2 linked regions of the Sus scrofa genome follow. The protein of the gene in region 1 interacts with the protein of each later gene in a pairwise test. Links are inferred from orthologs where the notes say so. Each region holds a gene or a part of one and is shown in the gene's direction. Other genes may lie near its edges.

Region 1 (8,302 bases):
GGCGTACCGGGTTCCCGCCTCCACCCCTTTCTTCAGCCAATCAGGAAACGGCTCCGAGGGAACGCGCGAGGTTTCCTTCCCCGCGCACCCGTTCTCACCGTTAAACGGCTGCGTCTCGCGACAATCCCAAAGTGACCTTTTTTTTTCCCCACCTCCGAAGCTCAACGCGCGCGAGGGGCAGTGGGAGGGTCAGGTCTCGCGAGGAGATTAGTGGGAAGAAAACGCACCTCTTTCCCCTCCTGGCGCGCACCCTGAACTGGCTGCGCGCGCACCTGCCTCCCTAAGGAGCTGCTAATGCCGCAAGGGCTCTTTCTAGCTTTCTTCCTTAAGCCGCGGAAGTAGCCTCGGCGTTCTTCTTCCTCCACCCTGATCCCACTCTCCTGTCTGTGGCCTTTCTGTCCCCAGCGCCGCTAGGTCTTGCGGAGAGAAAGGGGAAATTTTTTTGAGCTGTCGCTTCTCCTTTAAGAAAAAAAGCCCCGTCGGCTGCCGGATGAAAGTCTCTGAAAAAATGGCGGCGGCAAAACAGAGGCGGGGTCGTGAGGGCAAGTAGGGCCCGCCTCTTAGCGCATGAGCATGGTTAACTTTTCCAAAGGCATCCTGGGAAACGAAGTTCGGCTTCTCCTACGCCTTAGGAAGAAAGCTAGGAAACCAGAGGCGGAGAGGCTTCTGGGAGTTTTTGACTGGTGCATGATGGGAAAGGTAGTTTACTCTTTCCGCAGTTAGAATTTGCTCTTCTGGGGAGGTTGTGTTTCCGGGTTAGGCCGCAAGGAGCCTGCGCAGGTCCGGGCACAACTGTTGATCCCGTTGCTGGTCGGGATTGCCTGGCAGGATTTTCCTTGCTTCTTTAACTTGGTGTTGGCGAATCATTTCTAGGGTGGCCACTTAATAGCCCTTACCTTTGTTTGGTTATATGGCACATCGTCTGAGACTGGCTAGCGTTCATATCTGCAATATCCGTCTTCTCCTGTGTCTGACCCACTAACCTGTGAGTGTCTCAAAGTCAAAGATTGATTGTGGTTCCATTGATTCATAGGGGGCTTAGCACAATCACCACCACTCATTTGATTTTTAATAAAAGTTTGTGGAAAGAATTGTAGAATTGTTTTTTTATTAGATGTCGCCGGGGACAAGGAACTGGCGTCAGTTGCTTAACCTGGCTGTGGTCCCTGGGCTGGAGAGAAGGATGAAGGGTTGTTTGCGTGACTCTGGTGACCCACCCAGAAAATTGAAGGCCTCCTTCACACCCCCCGCCCTGAAGCCGTGTGCTTCTGTGGTTTTTACTTGTTTTGTGTTGCACAGGAAGCGTGGTCAGAATAGCAGCTTTGTCAGAAATTACTTTTCTCTCCACCAACATGTGCAACTAAATTGCCCTAATGCATCAAAACGAAGTTTCCATTTGCTCATCTTCAAGTTGGATTTGGTGAGGGTAGTGAGCCTCTTGCGTTCCTTCCTTTCTGACTTTCATCTATTATAATCAAGAAGCGATCTGCAGGAACGATTCTTAACCATGGAAAATAAAACTCCGGAATTAAAAGTCTCCAAAGTAAATGAATAGAAACAAGATCTTGGGATCCAGTTTTAAGTGTCACATGAATCATTCAGTTAAACTGCAGTTGGAGTCCCACATTTGCAAGCCAAGGGCTGAGAACATTATTCCTTCCAGTGTTTTGGTTCAGTTACCACTTCAGATGGGCCAATGTTCATAGTCTTTGTGGAATGTTTCGCACTTTCATGGGGCTACTGGCATTTCAACTGTAAAAACTGTCATAGTGTAGATGGAAAATTTTCAAACCCCCATTTGCAGTGAGCATACTTTTAGAATGGCACTGACATCCAATGGCTGCTCAGAGTAATGCAGAGGTGGGATCTCCTTTATGTCAAAAAAAAAAAAAAAAAAAAAAAAAGTTTTGAGAGTCACAATGGAATGAAATGGAGAACAAATGATTCCTTTAGAGTAACCTAAATAGAGATCACTCTGTTGTAGAGGAAAGATTACAAACTTGGAAGATAAATCTATCTTATAGCAAGTTACAAAGCTACCTACTAATTCTGTTATCTTTAGCAAGTTACTATTATCTATTTCACCACTGGTAAAAATGAGGGTACTATCTATATCACAGAGCCATAGTTTTAGTTCTTTAAATACTGCCTTCTCATATTAGGCTTTTTTTAAATGTTTTATTCAAGGTGAATAAAATCACAGCAGTAAAAAAAAAGTGAAAGTTAATCTCAGTGTGACTTTTCAGAAAAACTGCTATAAGGCAGTAGGCAGGAATTGTGCTTAATTGAGATGTCTGCAGCTTAGAACCTGGTGTCTCAAATCTCCCAGTTTCATTCTTCACAACCCCTATAGTTTGCATTTTGAACCACTGAAATAAACCTGGCCGAGGGAATTAAAATGTAACCTGGTCCTGATAATCCTGTTCTGCCTTTAATGGGTTGACAGTCTATTTAGGAAAGCAGGTGAGCATAATTTCCAGATAAGTAAAGACAGCAAAATGAGGAGCTCCTGCTGTGGCTCAACAGGATGCATGTTCAATCCCCAGCCTCACACACTGGGTTAAAGATCCAGTGTTGTGGCAGCTATGACTGAGGTCATAACTGCGGCTGGGCTCTGATCCCTGGCCTGGGAACTCTATATCTGCTGAGCGACCAAAAAAAAAAAAAATGAATTGGGTGCTGGTTAACTCTGATGAGAATTTTATGAAGGAGAATTTTATGAAAAGCATGAACCCCAGCTTCACAGAAAAAGAAAAAAAAAAAAAAAGATTCTCTGATACACAGTCACACACTGGGAAAAAACACAAGTGCAAATCTGCTATTCCCATGAATTCAAGATGGATCCTGGCACATAGGAGTTTCTCAAAATTTTCAAAATTAGGTTTGAATCTTTATCACCCGAGCCAATGCACAATGAGAACTCAAACCCAACTACCCACCTTTTCTATGTCATTTTAAAAACTCTGACCTGCAAAAGGACAAGAGAGAAAGAAACCCACCAAATCAAGGGAGAGGAAGTGCTAGGCAAATAGAGGAACCAGAAAGGGTTATAGAGGCTGCTGCGTGCTGCCTCATTCAGTTCCTTTGTGGTCCTGTTCTTCAGCACTTGCCAAAGCAGTTCCTCACAACCTGTGGTACCAGGGCATCTTGGGTGTGAGACAATGGAAGAGTTGGGTGAGTGAGGAGCTTCTTGGAAGAGAAACTCTGGGGGAATGAATGCTTGGCTGCCATCTCCTCGTGTGGTGGGATAAGGAAGGGTAGTGTTGGAGGATTTTATTTTCACTTCTCTCCTGACTTCAGGCCAAGAGTGAAGCATGAGGGACTGTTATTTTGGGGAACTATGGGTTCACTGTTTTCAGAGGCACAGTAGACAGAGAATTTGGTGCTAACCACAGAATAAACTGCACAAATACTTTTGGACTGAATTTTGATTGAAATTGTTATTTTGTTATGAGAATTTTGCTCCTATGAGTTGCTAGAGATCCTAGAGTGGTCACAGAATTGGCAAACCTCAGAGATGTGATTTAGGGAAAAAACAGAAAGAAGGGGGGCAGTTAAAGTGTTATGAGGAGAAGAAATGGGATAGAAGTAGAAGAAGGAGGGATCCCCAAAGATTGGAGAAAGTGGTTTCCTTTGTTCCATGGTGCAGCGTTAAATCAAGAAGATGCAGCCCTCTAACACTAGTGCTTTCATTGCTAAGGTTTTACCGAGAGCAATTCTGAAGGCACAGATTACTGTGGACTGTGAATATATCTCCTTCTATTCCAAAACAATTGAAACCAGAAGAGAAACTATGGGCCCCATTGCTTGGAGAGATCCCTGGTTTCAAATCTTTGGAGTAATGTAAGGTTTGATATTCTTGGGACTCATTCCATATCCTTTGCCAACTTTCGTTGCCATCGTCCCTACTAACACAGTCACTAACATTTATCCACTATCCAAGCTGTGTAATTCCACAGTGTCCAGGGTTTTTGTCTGTTTGGGGTATGTCAAAAGTGCGGACAACAACATCAGCAAAATGTATCTTGCAGGTTGTCTATTAAAAAAACTAACTTGAGATCTGGAGGAGTAGAGGAAGGAACAAAGGCAAATTATAGGAGGGAAGAGATGTTAATGAAAAGGAAAAAAAAAGGAAAAGGGTATTTAATAAATACTGAATTGTTTTGGACGTAAAATCTCTTTTGAAACTTGGAGTAGAATATAAACTTTGCACTTGGGGTAGAATCCAAATTCTTATTCTCTGCTAGGGGTGGGGAAATTCACATTCCTGTCTGAGTTCCACTAGAGTCAAGCTCTCTTTTTTTATTTTTTATTTATTTTTTTTTTTTTTGTCTTTTTGTTATTTCTTGGGCCGCTCCGGGGGATATGGAGGTTCCCAGGCTAGGGGTCCAATCGGAGCTGTGGCCGCCAGCCTACGCCAGAGCCACAGCAACGCAGGATCCGAGCCGCGTCTGCAACCTACACCACAGCTCAAGGCAACGCCGGATCGTTAACCCACTGAGCAAGGGCAGGGACCGAACCCGCAACCACATGGTTCCTAGTCGGATTCGTTAACCACTGCGCCACGACGGGAACTCCATTTTTTTTTTTTTTTTTTTTTTTGTCTTTTTGTTATTTCTTGGGCCGCTCCTGCGGCATAGCTCTCTTTTTTTAACTAGGGATATTTCATGGCTTTCCTGCAGGTAATTGGAAAAGGTAATAATACTTATTCAATGACTTAAGCTAAAACTAGACATTTTTACATATGCTAATTATTTTAGTGTTCCAAGCAACTCTTTGAAATAGGTAGTACCCACTTTTTTTTTTTAATCCAATTGAGAAAACTAAGAAAAACAAAATAATTTGTTCAGTGCCACTCTTTAGAACATCTGATAGCGAAACTGATTAAGCCACAAGCTGTTCTATTTTAGAAGTGTGTTGGCTCAGATGTTCCAGCCAGTAGGCTAACCCAGATAATTTTTTAAAAAATTAAAAAATAGATTTGCGCAGTTTTGCATTTCCTTAGCAGGATGAATGGTAAGAGTAATGTGGTCCAGAAATGTAGAAAGCATCCGGCATCCTGTATATATATCCTAGGAGATATATATATATTTTATATATATATATATAAAATTCATGCATATTATCCAGGTGATTAAACTTCATCAGGCTGTTAATAGCTACACCTCGAAGTCTCCTTTAAATTGTCATCAGCTCAGTAACTACCCCCTCTTGGACCTAGGGTGAACTTTCTTCTCCAATGGGGAGAAATAGAACGGAGGACAGGTCTGGCCAGGCGGGCTGATATTTCCTCTCTGCTGTACTTCCCCCAGGGTTAGTAGTTTGTATCCAGAAGGTCTGACCTAAACCCTCATGATAAGGGGATGCTAGATAAAGGGGAACTTGGAGCAGACTCTGGCTCTGAATGAAGTCATTGCAGTCTAGTGTGACTCCCAAGAGACTTCACTTAATTCCTTCAATGTGAATGTTGATATCATTTGATTTCTGCAGATGAAGAGCTATAGAAAAGGACAGTAGGGTTTTCAGTCTAATAAAATCCCCCACACAACAATAATCCCGTATGTATTTGTCATACTGAAATTAGTCATCTTCAAATTATAGAATCAGGCAAAAGGCCAGATAATCTGGGGGTGTTAGTACACTCAGAAAACAGGAAGAGAAAGGCCTGTTAACTCATGACCCAGAAAGGAGTGTTTTAGTAACTTTGGTTAGCTGATGCTGCCTGGATAATGTTGCACTCTTGGTGGTACATTTTGCTTCTCTTGTAGAGGGTCTTTGGTCTCTCCTCATCTTTACTGTAAATGCCTTTTTATTTTGAATCCAAGAGGATCTGTGACTTTTGGTTGGAGCGAAGCTTACAAAATAGAAAAGAAAGAGGCTATATCTTTTTTTTTTTTTTTTTTTTTTTGTCGTTTTAGGGCCACACCTGCAGCATATGGAAGTTCCCAGGCTAGAGGTCAAGTTGGAGCTGCAACTGCTGGCCTCCACCGCAGCTTACAGCAACACTGGATCCTTAACCCACTGAGCAAGGCCAAGGATCAAACCTGCATCCTCATGGATGCTAGTCAGGTTCCTTAACCACTGAACCATGACTGGAACTCCAAGAGGCTATATCTTAATAGAGGACCACTGAATAAAAATTTGGAACTCAGCAATTTGGTGTTCAGTCTGGCTTGCAAAGTCTTGAGAGAAAAAGGTTACTTTCCCTTCTTACTGTAGTTTTCTTTTTCTTTTAAAAAACGTTTTATTGTGGAGACTTTTAAAATTGACGGAAGGAGAGTTCCCGTCGTGGCTCAGCGGTAATGAACCCATCTAGTATCCATTAGGACTCGGGTTCAATCCCTGGCATCCCTCAGTAGGTTGGGGATCTTGTGGTGCCATGAGCTGTGTGTAAGTTGCAGGCGTGGCTGGGATCCTGAGTTGCTGTGGTGTAGGCTGGCAGCTGTGGTTCCGATTTGACCTCTAGCTTGGGAATTCCATATAGCGGAGTGTGGCCCTAAAAAGACCAAAAAAAAAAAAAAAAAATTTGACAAAAGGAAAGAAATCTGATGTACCCATCAACCACCTTAAATATTCATCAAGTTTTATTCAATCTTATTTCATTTATACACCCAATCATTCCTTCCATTTCTAGTTTATTTTAAAGCAATTGCATACATTATATCATTTCATCTGTAAATATTTCAGCATATATATATGTATATACATTTATACATATAACCATAATGCCATTATCACCTCCAGAATATCCTTGGAAGTAATTCCTTAATAATATGAAATACCGTGATCACATCTAAAATATTAACAGAAATTACTTAATATCATCAAATATCCTTATCATACCTAAAATAAATCTACAGTACTTCTTATTGAATTTTCAGCATTTAATATTCCTAATTGTTTCTTTTTTTGTTTTTTGCCTGTTTAAGATTATGCATTGAAATCATTTACAAGTCTCTTAAGTCTCTTTTAATCTCTTTTTTTCCATTACAGTTTATGTGTTGAAGGGTCATTTGCCCTGAAGAGCTTAGCTCAGTTTCCTTATCTCTAAAATGGTGCATACAATTCAATATGTTTGTGAGATGGATGCTAGAGAAAGCCTGTAGAATATTTTGCTTGTAAGAAATGATTAGATCTTTTCTTATGCCATTAAGACATGCCCATCCCCAACATCTGAAATAAATAAAAATCCTTTTTTTTTTTTTAGAAAAAATGACCTATAAAAGTTCCTTTTCCTTATCTGAAGATTTTAAAGCTAGGCAGATCCTTAGAAATAACATAATACAGTGTTTGCAAAATTTAAAAACCTGCAGTCTATAGTCAGAAATCTGCTGGAGATTCACTAGTAGGTTTCAATCCACAATTAAAAAAATACTGTTATGATACAATTGCTTCACTATGTAGATGAGGAAACAGCTTCAGAGAAGAAAGTGGCATGCCAAGATGACTCAGAGAACCTATGTGAGAATGGAGATGGGAATTTCTGACTTGTAGAGGCTGAGGATCAGATAGTCCAGGATCAGCCAGGTTCTGTGCTATGGCAGCATGTGGCCTTAAACAAGTTATTTGTCTCTTTCTTAATCTATAAAATAAAGATAATATTTGGCCACAAAGCATTAAGGTGACTAAATAAATAAATAGTTAAATATATGAGAAGTGTATAAAATCCTGAACATAATGCCTGTCACTTGTTAACTTTATTATGTATTAACATTAATTTCATCAAACATAGAAAGATAACATTGTAGCACTTACACAATAAAGTCCATTGTTTTTTCCCAAGAAAGCCAGGAGAGAAACAAATCTCAACTATTTGGATTGTAACATCTTGCTTGATTTTGCAGTACCTGTTTTTTTCCCCAATCCCTTTTTCTCCCCACACCCTAAAAGACAGACTACTTATACACTGCTTTGAGAATTTGGTTGTGTGTTGGGGATATAAGAAAAAAATCATAAGGGTTACGAATAAGTTTTAATGTCCTGGTATGCTTGAAAAACTGTAATATAATTGCTTATATTTTTCTGATAGGAAAAATATGTAGGTCTTATATTTTTCCTTGTGCACGATCCACTCTATTTAAATGATTAAAAATGAATACTCTGAAATATAAAAATGTCAAATTGTAGAATGAGACTGAAATTGAATGCAACCATAGGAAATAAGACACAGTATGTGTAGGGCTTTACACATCTGGTAGAATAGATCACAGTCTTGAAGTCAAATAAGCAGTAAGGGAAGATGTTTGAAAATAGCCTTAACCCAAGAGAAAAGGGAGATGAATGCAGGCACAGTGGTGGGGGA
Region 2 (8,324 bases), on another chromosome or scaffold:
TGGCTTGCTCCATTGGTGCTGGGGAAAATTGAAGGGAGTGGCGGGGGTGAGAGGAGTCTGGGGATCTGGCAGGAGACCCAGCAGGCATCACTGAACCTGGGAAGACAACCCCCTCCTTCTTGGTGCCCCCACATCCTTTGTGCCCCCCACATCTACAGGCCTGGATTTGGGGGAAGCCTGAAGGTCTGCTTCAGAGCCCTGACCTGCCACCCCGCCACCAGACGCAGGGAACCGGTGGTACAACCCACACACGCAGTGGTGGAACCCGAGGGACTTCAGCCTGGTGGCCTGGTGAACTCAGGGACTCCCAGCCCCTTCCAGCCCCCCTCCTTCAGGCTGCCTCTCCCTGCAAAGGCCTAGGCAAAACGGGGCGGCGTTGGTGGGGAGGGGGCTGTGGGCGAGGCCTGCTTCCTGATCCACAGCTGTGTCTGCGCCTGAGTGGGGAGGGTCTGAGTTCACGCTCTGAACCGGAGGTGACAATCTCCCCTCAGTTTCACAGAGAATTTGAAGGCATGCAGCAGAGAGCTGGGCCTGGTGATCTCGGCTGCCCCGTGGCTGCCGCCTCTGCCTCCGGGTGGGCAGGGAGGGTGGGCAGGCTGCTCAAGAGTTGAAAAGAAGGCAGTGGCCGAAGGGGGTAGGAGAGAAAGGGGCATCTGTTTACAGCCACTATGCCTGGGGGGCTCTCCCAAATAGTGGAGGCCCATGGAGAGGGGCTTTAGGGGCGTCTTTCTTCTAGGAAAACTGAGGTTGGGGTAGATGGGCCCTGTTGCCTGGTGAAGACTCCAAGGAGGAGCGAGCGTGAAAACCTCCTTGGTCATAGCTTTGCTCCTTGACGAGAGTGTGGCTCAGTCCCCAGCTGCCTGGGCGGCTGTCTGGGCCGAGATAGGGTTCGATATCCCCGGAGGCCTGGTGTACCCACCCCAGCAGGTCGCCAGGGAGGGGCAGGAGAGGAGGCCTCTTCCTCCTTTGTGTCCGGAGGCGCGGAGCCGGTCCCGCAGCAAAGGCCCGGCTGCACAATGCCACGGCTGCTCGGCCAGCCCGCGCCCTGCCCCGTCTGCCTGCCTGTCGCCGCCCTTCCTCCGGCTCGCTCTCTGCATGCCTTCCTTTCCCTGCTCTCCTCTCGCTCTTCCTCCTGCATCCCCTCTCTTCTGTAATCCTCCCCTCCCTCTGCCTTGTATCCTAATCCTTCGTTTTCTTCTTTCCTGCCCTCCTTCCTTCCTCCCTTCCTCTCTATGGGCCTGGCGCCGTGCTTCGGTCGTACTCTCTCAGGCTGTCTCGGGCTGTCTCTCTCAGGCTCTGTCCCCTGATGTCCTCTTGGTCGCAGTCTGGCCCCGGGCCCTCTGAAGGCGACACGTCTCTGCTCTGCGCTGCCAGCAGCCACCCCAGAGCCAGGCAGGGTCCCCCAGCCTGCACCTGGGGGACGTGCTGATGGTGGCACTGGGGATTTGGAGAAAGCCACGGCAGGGGGACGGGAACCTCCTGTCTTTTCCTTGAACTAGTGAGGGAAAATTTTTGATTGACAGCTAACCCAACTCCATCAAGGCCAAAGAGATATTCTGTTTCTTGCTGTAATTTGGATTTCCCAGACCCGTCCAGTCCTGGGGAGGGGAAGGCAATCACGGCCTGGGGTGAAGAGGTTGAGGCCCCTGGCTGCCTCTCCCCAGCCGGGCACTTCTCACGTCCCCCCCCACCCCCATGCGTCAAAATCCCAGCCCCGCTAGACCGAAAAGGAAGGAACCAGAGAAGGGGAGGAGCAGGCACTGGGGAGGGGGCCTGGCAGGCTGGGGTCAGTGCTGCAGGCTGCAGATCTACCCTTCCCCCTCAACTCCCCCCCCCCCCAACACATATCCTACAATCTCTGGGACACCTCTCTCTAGCCCTTCTTCTCCCCAGAGGAGACAAGTTGACAGAGATGCAGGAAAAAAAAAAGCAGCCTCCACCCCCACCCCTGGCGTTTGGTCCCCTCCTGGGGACAGGAGTGGGAAAGAAGGGCAGGCAGGCATCTCGGGTCTGGGAAGACTTGCCCTTCCCTGCTGCCTCAGAGCCTGTGTCTAAGCCTCAGCGCCTGCCTCTTTCCCCTAGCGCAAATTAGACTCTTCCCTGCTGACCCTGAAATTGCACCCCTCCTTCAAACTCCCTCCACCATGCCCAGGGCGCATCTGTCTCTGGGGACATCACCTGCCCTTCTCCCCCGCCCCCAGCCAACTTCCCTGACCCCTCTCTTGCACCTACACTGAGAATGTCCTGCTTGCCCAAAGCCCACCTTTGCTAAACCACCACGGGACAGTCTGCTAGAAAGCAGAGGGCTGGGCAGCGAACCCCAAATTCAAGGAGGAGGGTAGCAACCAACTTATTGGGGGGAGGAATCCAAGTTGTGTGATCGTCCCCACAATCACACTGCCCCCTCCAGAATTCCTGCATCTGACTCCAAAGAAATTGCTCTCTCCCATTCCTCTGTAGCTTTTTTCCCGTTCCAAAAACAGCCTACAATTTTATTTAATGAAAGACACATTTATGAACAATCAAATGATCCTCATAAAATTTTTATTGAAGGACGTAAAAACAAGCTACTTGCCCACGACCGAGGTCGCTCTTTCGCCTTGCCCGCTCTCACCCTGGCTCTCTGCAGACAGAGCCCGCGAGCGACTTCTTTTTTCAAGTGGGGGGGCAGGAGGTCTCAGAGATGGAGTTGGGGGCAGAGGAGGGTGAACAGGAAGACAGGATGGGTACGCCCCACTGAAGTTGTGTAGATCTCTCCTCCACTTCTTCAGGCTGGCAAAGAAAGATAAATAGATATAGACAATAAATTTAAAATACAGGCGTTTGCATGTCTGTGCCAAAGCAAAGAGAGGACTTCTGGTGACAAAGGTGGATGAGGTCCCAAGGTCCTACCCCTCCCACCCGTGGACCACCTTCCCCAAGCTTCCCCTGCCCCAGATTTGGGGGGCTGAGTTGGCCAGTGGCAGAAGGACGCTCCCCTTCCCTCCTTCCCTCCCTCCACCCCAGCTTCCCCAGTCCCCTCCCACTCTCCCTCCCTCGCTGCTGCTGCAGCTCCTGAAAGAAATACATACATACACACTATTTAAAAACGCATTTTTAAAAGCCACGTTCCGAACTGACAATCGCTGATCTCGGCTCGCGCAGAGACTGCGGGAGCGTCGGGGCCGACAGAGACGGATTACGTCAAGAAATAGTTCCTCCACCTACCTCGCCGGGTCTCTCCGCCCCTGCGGGGCTCCCGCGCCCAGCTCGGCCCCGGGGGTCCCGGAACCCTGGCTTCGGGGACTGGCATTTTCACCCCATTAAGAAATCCTCCCGGGGGTGGGGGCGGAGGCCATCTGCCTATGGGTGGACCTGGGCCAGGGGCTGCTCTGCTGAGATGCGAGTTGTCCTGAGGGGGTGGCCGGGTCCTTGGGTCCAGAGTTGCGGACCCCCAGGAAAACGCAGGTCGCGGGGATCAGCAGAGAGAAGGGGGTGGGAGAAGGGAGGGAAAAAAAAAAAAAAAAGCCAGGAAAAAAAGCCCCTGCGCATTGATCCGCGCCGTATTTTTGGGTAAATACGATCACGTGGGGGCCGGGGAGCCAATGAGCTGCGGGGAAAAGGCTGGAAAAATAATTACCTGCCTTGATTGTTCTGTGAGCAGATAAAAAGTACATATACAGTTCATACAATAATCTTATGTATGTAAAACCCTGTTACGATGTCGGCGACGGGGCCCATCAGTAACTATTACGTGGACTCGCTCATCTCTCACGACAATGAAGACCTCCTAGCGTCCAGGTTTCCGGCCACGGGGGCTCACCCCGCCGCCGCCAGACCCAGCGGTTTGGTGCCGGACTGTAGCGATTTTCCGTCCTGTAGCTTCGCGCCCAAGCCGGCCGTGTTCAGCACGTCGTGGGCGCCCGTGCCCTCGCAGTCGTCCGTGGTCTACCACCCGTACGGCCCCCAGCCCCACCTCGGCGCCGACACGCGCTACATGCGGACTTGGCTCGAGCCGCTGTCCGGCGCCGTCTCCTTCCCCAGCTTCCCGGCCGGGGGCCGTCACTACGCCCTCAAGCCGGACGCCTACCCCGGGCGCCGCGCCGACTGCGGCCCGGGCGACGGCCGCAGCTACCCGGACTACATGTACGGCTCGCCCGGGGAGCTGCGCGACCGCGCCCCGCAGACCCTGCCCTCGCCCGAGGCGGACGCCCTCGCCGGCAGCAAGCACAAAGAGGAGAAGGCCGACCTGGACCCCAGTAAGTTGGGAGCAATTTTCCTTTACAACCCGCGCGGGAGGGGAGGAGAGGACGGGCGGGAGGGGGGAGCCGGATTACAGCCCCTCGGAGCGGTGCAGGGAGCGCGGGAGAGGGGCGAGGGCGAGGGGGCGAGGACTCAATAAAAGCGAATTACCTTGGGGAGCTTTCAGGGGCAGGAAGGTCTGAGAAGGGGGCCCAGGGAGCCAGGTTGGGAGAGGGCTGAGGGGGCTCCTCTCTTAGGAGCTGGCTTTGATGAGAGCCCCCCCACCCCACCCACACACACCCCCGGCCCAGGCTTTTTGGCTCGCTCTCTACTTTCGAAGAAATGCAGACAGGGCCAGGGGATGGGGTGGGGGCGAGGTTCGTTTTATGGTTTGGGGTGGGATGGGGGAGAGATGAGGACACTAGGGGCAGAGAGGAAATAACCCCAGGGAGAAAAGCCACCTTTACCTCCCAGGCAGCATGGGGGTCCTCACCCCACTAGAGATTCATAAAACAGGAGGTCCATGGGCTTCTCTCCCTGGAACCCTGGGTGAGGGATCTGGGTGCTTTCCCAGGCTGGGAACTGGGAGAGATAAGGACTTCCAGAGTTGGGGGAGACAAGTGGGGTCCCAGTCTCCTTAAACTTGAGAGCCCTCTTCTGAGGGTCTGCAGGAGAGAGGGGTGTGGATGGGAGTCAGGGAAGAGGAGTGGGGAAAGGCATCTCCCCAGATTAGAGAATTACACACACACACACACACATACACACACATGCACACACACACACACACACACACACACACTCCAATCAGGGAAACAGGAGACTTCTGAGTATTGCAAAGAAAGCCAGGGGTTGGGGGCTGGGGGACAGGTGAGAGCTGCAGGGCCAGAGAAAGAGGAAAGAAGGGGAAACAGCAGGGGAGGGAGTGCAGCCCCTGGGTGTGAGGAAGTGTCTGGGGGAGTCCCTGGAGGGGGCTGCAGGAAATCCTTTCCTGAAGCCCCATAAGGGGCCAGGGCCTAATTATACCCCTCTGAAGGCTTCCCTTCTTGCCCTCAGCTACTCCCATAAACCTGAAATTGGAGGCTTGGCTCCTGCAGAGCCTGTCCCTGGGGCTGGCAGGAGGAGGGGGACACTGGAAGTCAAAGAGGGAAGCTAAGATATAGGGGAGCCTGTCCCCAAGGCCAGCAGCTCCCTGGGGGAGAGGAGCAAGGCAAAGCTTTCCCCGGCCCGGCATCATCACCCTGAGAATTCGCCTCAGCAGGGTTCAACTCCGAGAGAGCGGAGACGGGGCGCTGGAGAGGGCAGTGAGGGGCTTGGGGACTCTCAGGGTCAGGAAGCAGAAGTGCTGAAATTTCAGGACTTGGTCGTGGGCTAGGAGGATGGGAGGGGGCAGAGGAGGAGGGAACTGGGGAGGAGAGAGACCTCGCTGTAAAAATAAAAAACAAGAGAGAGAAGCGTTTATGGGCCTATGAAACGGTTGGGAATTTGGACTTTTTATGAGGATATTCTCGAATTACTACTCTTGAAGCTGAGGACCAGACTGTAGAGGCTTTGATAGCTTCGATTTCCTATAGTTTTAGGTGCTGGAAACTGAGGAGGGGAGAGACGGGGAAGGTGGGGGGGAATGCAAAAGGAGTTGGGGGGGGGATTCCTAAATCAAAACGTGTCCAAATTCAGGTTCAATTGTTAGGTTTGGGGAAACTGGCTGAGCCTGGGGGTTGGGGTGGCAGGGGTCCTAGGCTGGAAAGGGGCTCCATTGACCCCTGCCTGTGTTTGGCCCTCCAGGCAACCCCGTGGCCAACTGGATCCACGCCCGCTCCACAAGGAAGAAGCGCTGCCCCTACACCAAGTACCAGACGCTGGAACTGGAGAAGGAATTTCTCTTCAATATGTATTTAACCAGGGACCGTCGGTACGAGGTGGCCCGGGTTCTCAACCTCACCGAGCGGCAGGTCAAAATCTGGTTTCAGAACCGAAGGATGAAGATGAAAAAGATGAATAAAGAGAAAACCGACAAGGAGCAATCCTAAACCCTGCCCCGGCCTGCTGCCTCGGCACAGCCAAGGGAAAAACACAACAAAACAAAAAAACCCACAAAAATACCCCAACCCAGGAGGGAGACAGCACGAAAAAGAAAAGGAAAGAGCAAGATAGAGAAAAGCCAATCAGCTTAAAAAGAAAAAAAAAAGGGGAAGGGGAAAAGGAAAACTCTTGCGATTTGGGAGGGTTCAGTGTTGAGAAATTGGTGTTTTAGAGTTAGTTCTACCCGGCGAGGAGGAGGAGGAGGAGGAGGAGGCGGGGAGAGAAACCGCGTTCTCTTCTCCCAGCGCAACTGAAATAAATGACACACACAAATGTGATTTTTTTCTCCTTTCTTCAGAGAAGCCAGTACTTGAATCGCTATATTTCTATTTTTTTTTCCTGTATCGTATTTGGCCCGGGCCATCCCTCCCCAGGCCTGGGGTGCTCTGCGTGCAGATTTTGTACAAAAAAAAAAAAAAAAGACACACATACATACACAAGAATGCTTCCAGCCCAGGAGCTGAGGGGCGAGGGCCGGGGACCGTGCCGCAGGCTGGGTCCGGCGGCGCAGGCCGGCGCCTCGGGCGTGTACATAGCAGTGTCTCCTCTCATCCCCAGAGTCCGTCCTGTAACGTGCTTCTGTTTGTTATGGTAGAACAGCTCTGTGTTAATATATCGAAGTCACTTAAAAAACCAGAAACCCAACTGCATCCAGTTCTCGTTATTTCTCCTCCCTGTGGCTCCTGTCCATGGAGGAGGCAAGTGCTCAGATCCTTTGGGGGAGGCTGGAGCCCCGCAAGGGGCTCCCTGGACATCGGAAGGGCAAGTGCCCACTGCTGCTCTCCAGGCAGGCTGTCACTGGGGTGAGGGTTCTGGGGTGCGGTAGAGGCCGCTGAGGCCCGGGTCCAGGGTCCAGCTCCAGCTCGTGCCTGCCCAGGCTGGCTGCCTCCTGTGTGTGTCTCCGGGTAGCTGGATGGAGTCCCCCCCGGGAGGGGGTGCCGGGGAGGGGGGTGGGGGCACGGCATGAATGGTTTTCCCTGGCTGTAATTAATTGTAATAATTTATGAGTACACGAGATCGCAGGGGAGAGATAGGTGAAGATGAAAGTTGGGTGCTGGGTGAGGGCCCGGGCTGGAGTCCTGCCTGGCTGCATAGGGGCTTCGTGGGATGGCTTGGTGCATGTGTGTGGAGGGGGTGGTGCTAGGGAGGGTGGGGGGTGAACAGTGAGGAGGAAGGCCCAGCAGGCCTCAGGGAGCGGGTCAGGCCCTGGGGACTGCAGCGAGAGTAAAAGAAGCAAGATGCAGAGAGAGGGACAGGGAGAGAGAAAGTGGGGAGGGAAGAAAGGAGGCAGGAAGGAAGGGAGAGGGGGAGGGAGGGAGGAGGAAGATGGCAAAACCAATATGATCAGAATTAGATTTCATTTCTACCTCTCAGTGGATTCTCAGATCCTCCTCCCTTCCCCATCGCCTAGTTCTCTCTTTTCTATTCCATCTTTCTCTCTCTCTGGTGTTTACTTTGAATGTTGATCTGGGGGTGACTGGGGTTATGCTGAGCGGCTGCAGCATTTGGGGGGGAGTAGTGTAGTTGGGACCCAAGGAAGCTGGTCAGGAACTAGCCAGGAGTGGGGTGCTCTCTGATGGTGGTGGGACCTCAGGAGCAAGGATGTGGGGTGTGCTGTGGATCAGCCCCGATGGGGCTGGGCAGCTGCCTAGCACCCCAGAGCACCTTCCCCAGAACGGGCAGTTTTCATCTGCTAATCAGAAGCAGACTCGAGCTGCCGGGTATGCCTCAGCCCGGCGCCCCCTTTCTCGGAAATCCCCCAATCTGGAAACTATTAAACTCAGACTGCTTGAAATATAGCCCTTTAATATCTCAGGCTGCCCATTCTGGCGAGGGTGCAGGGTGTTGCTCTGAATACTTGGGGAATACCACTGTAGAAGAAAAGAATTGGGGACCCCAGTACCCGTGCAGCTCCCCTCATCGCATCACCTTACGGGATTGGTGAGGCACTTGTCAGGACCAGCCCCTTCCCCATCATTTGAATCTCCTACCCCTCCTTCTATTACAGACTCCAGTTTCGGGGG

What was found.
Region 2: the proteins of LPXN (region 1) and HOXC9 interact in binary tests that used the Homo sapiens proteins (3 or more experiments, as listed by UniProt). The two-hybrid records come from large-scale screens. The link is inferred for Sus scrofa from reciprocal best matches to the Homo sapiens genes LPXN and HOXC9.

The regions. Positions count from the first base shown.
Region 1 is NC_010444.4:12,531,762-12,540,063, forward strand, and holds the start of LPXN (leupaxin), read left to right. Parts: upstream 1-3,018; 5' UTR 3,019-3,161; coding exon 3,162-3,174; intron 3,175-8,302. UniProt on the Homo sapiens protein: Transcriptional coactivator for androgen receptor (AR) and serum response factor (SRF). Contributes to the regulation of cell adhesion, spreading and cell migration and acts as a negative regulator in integrin-mediated cell adhesion events.
Region 2 is NC_010447.5:19,209,282-19,217,605, forward strand, and holds HOXC9 (homeobox protein Hox-C9), read left to right. Parts: upstream 1-3,208; 5' UTR 3,209-3,700; coding exon 3,701-4,238; intron 4,239-6,003; coding exon 6,004-6,248; 3' UTR 6,249-6,578; downstream 6,579-8,324. UniProt on the Homo sapiens protein: Sequence-specific transcription factor which is part of a developmental regulatory system that provides cells with specific positional identities on the anterior-posterior axis.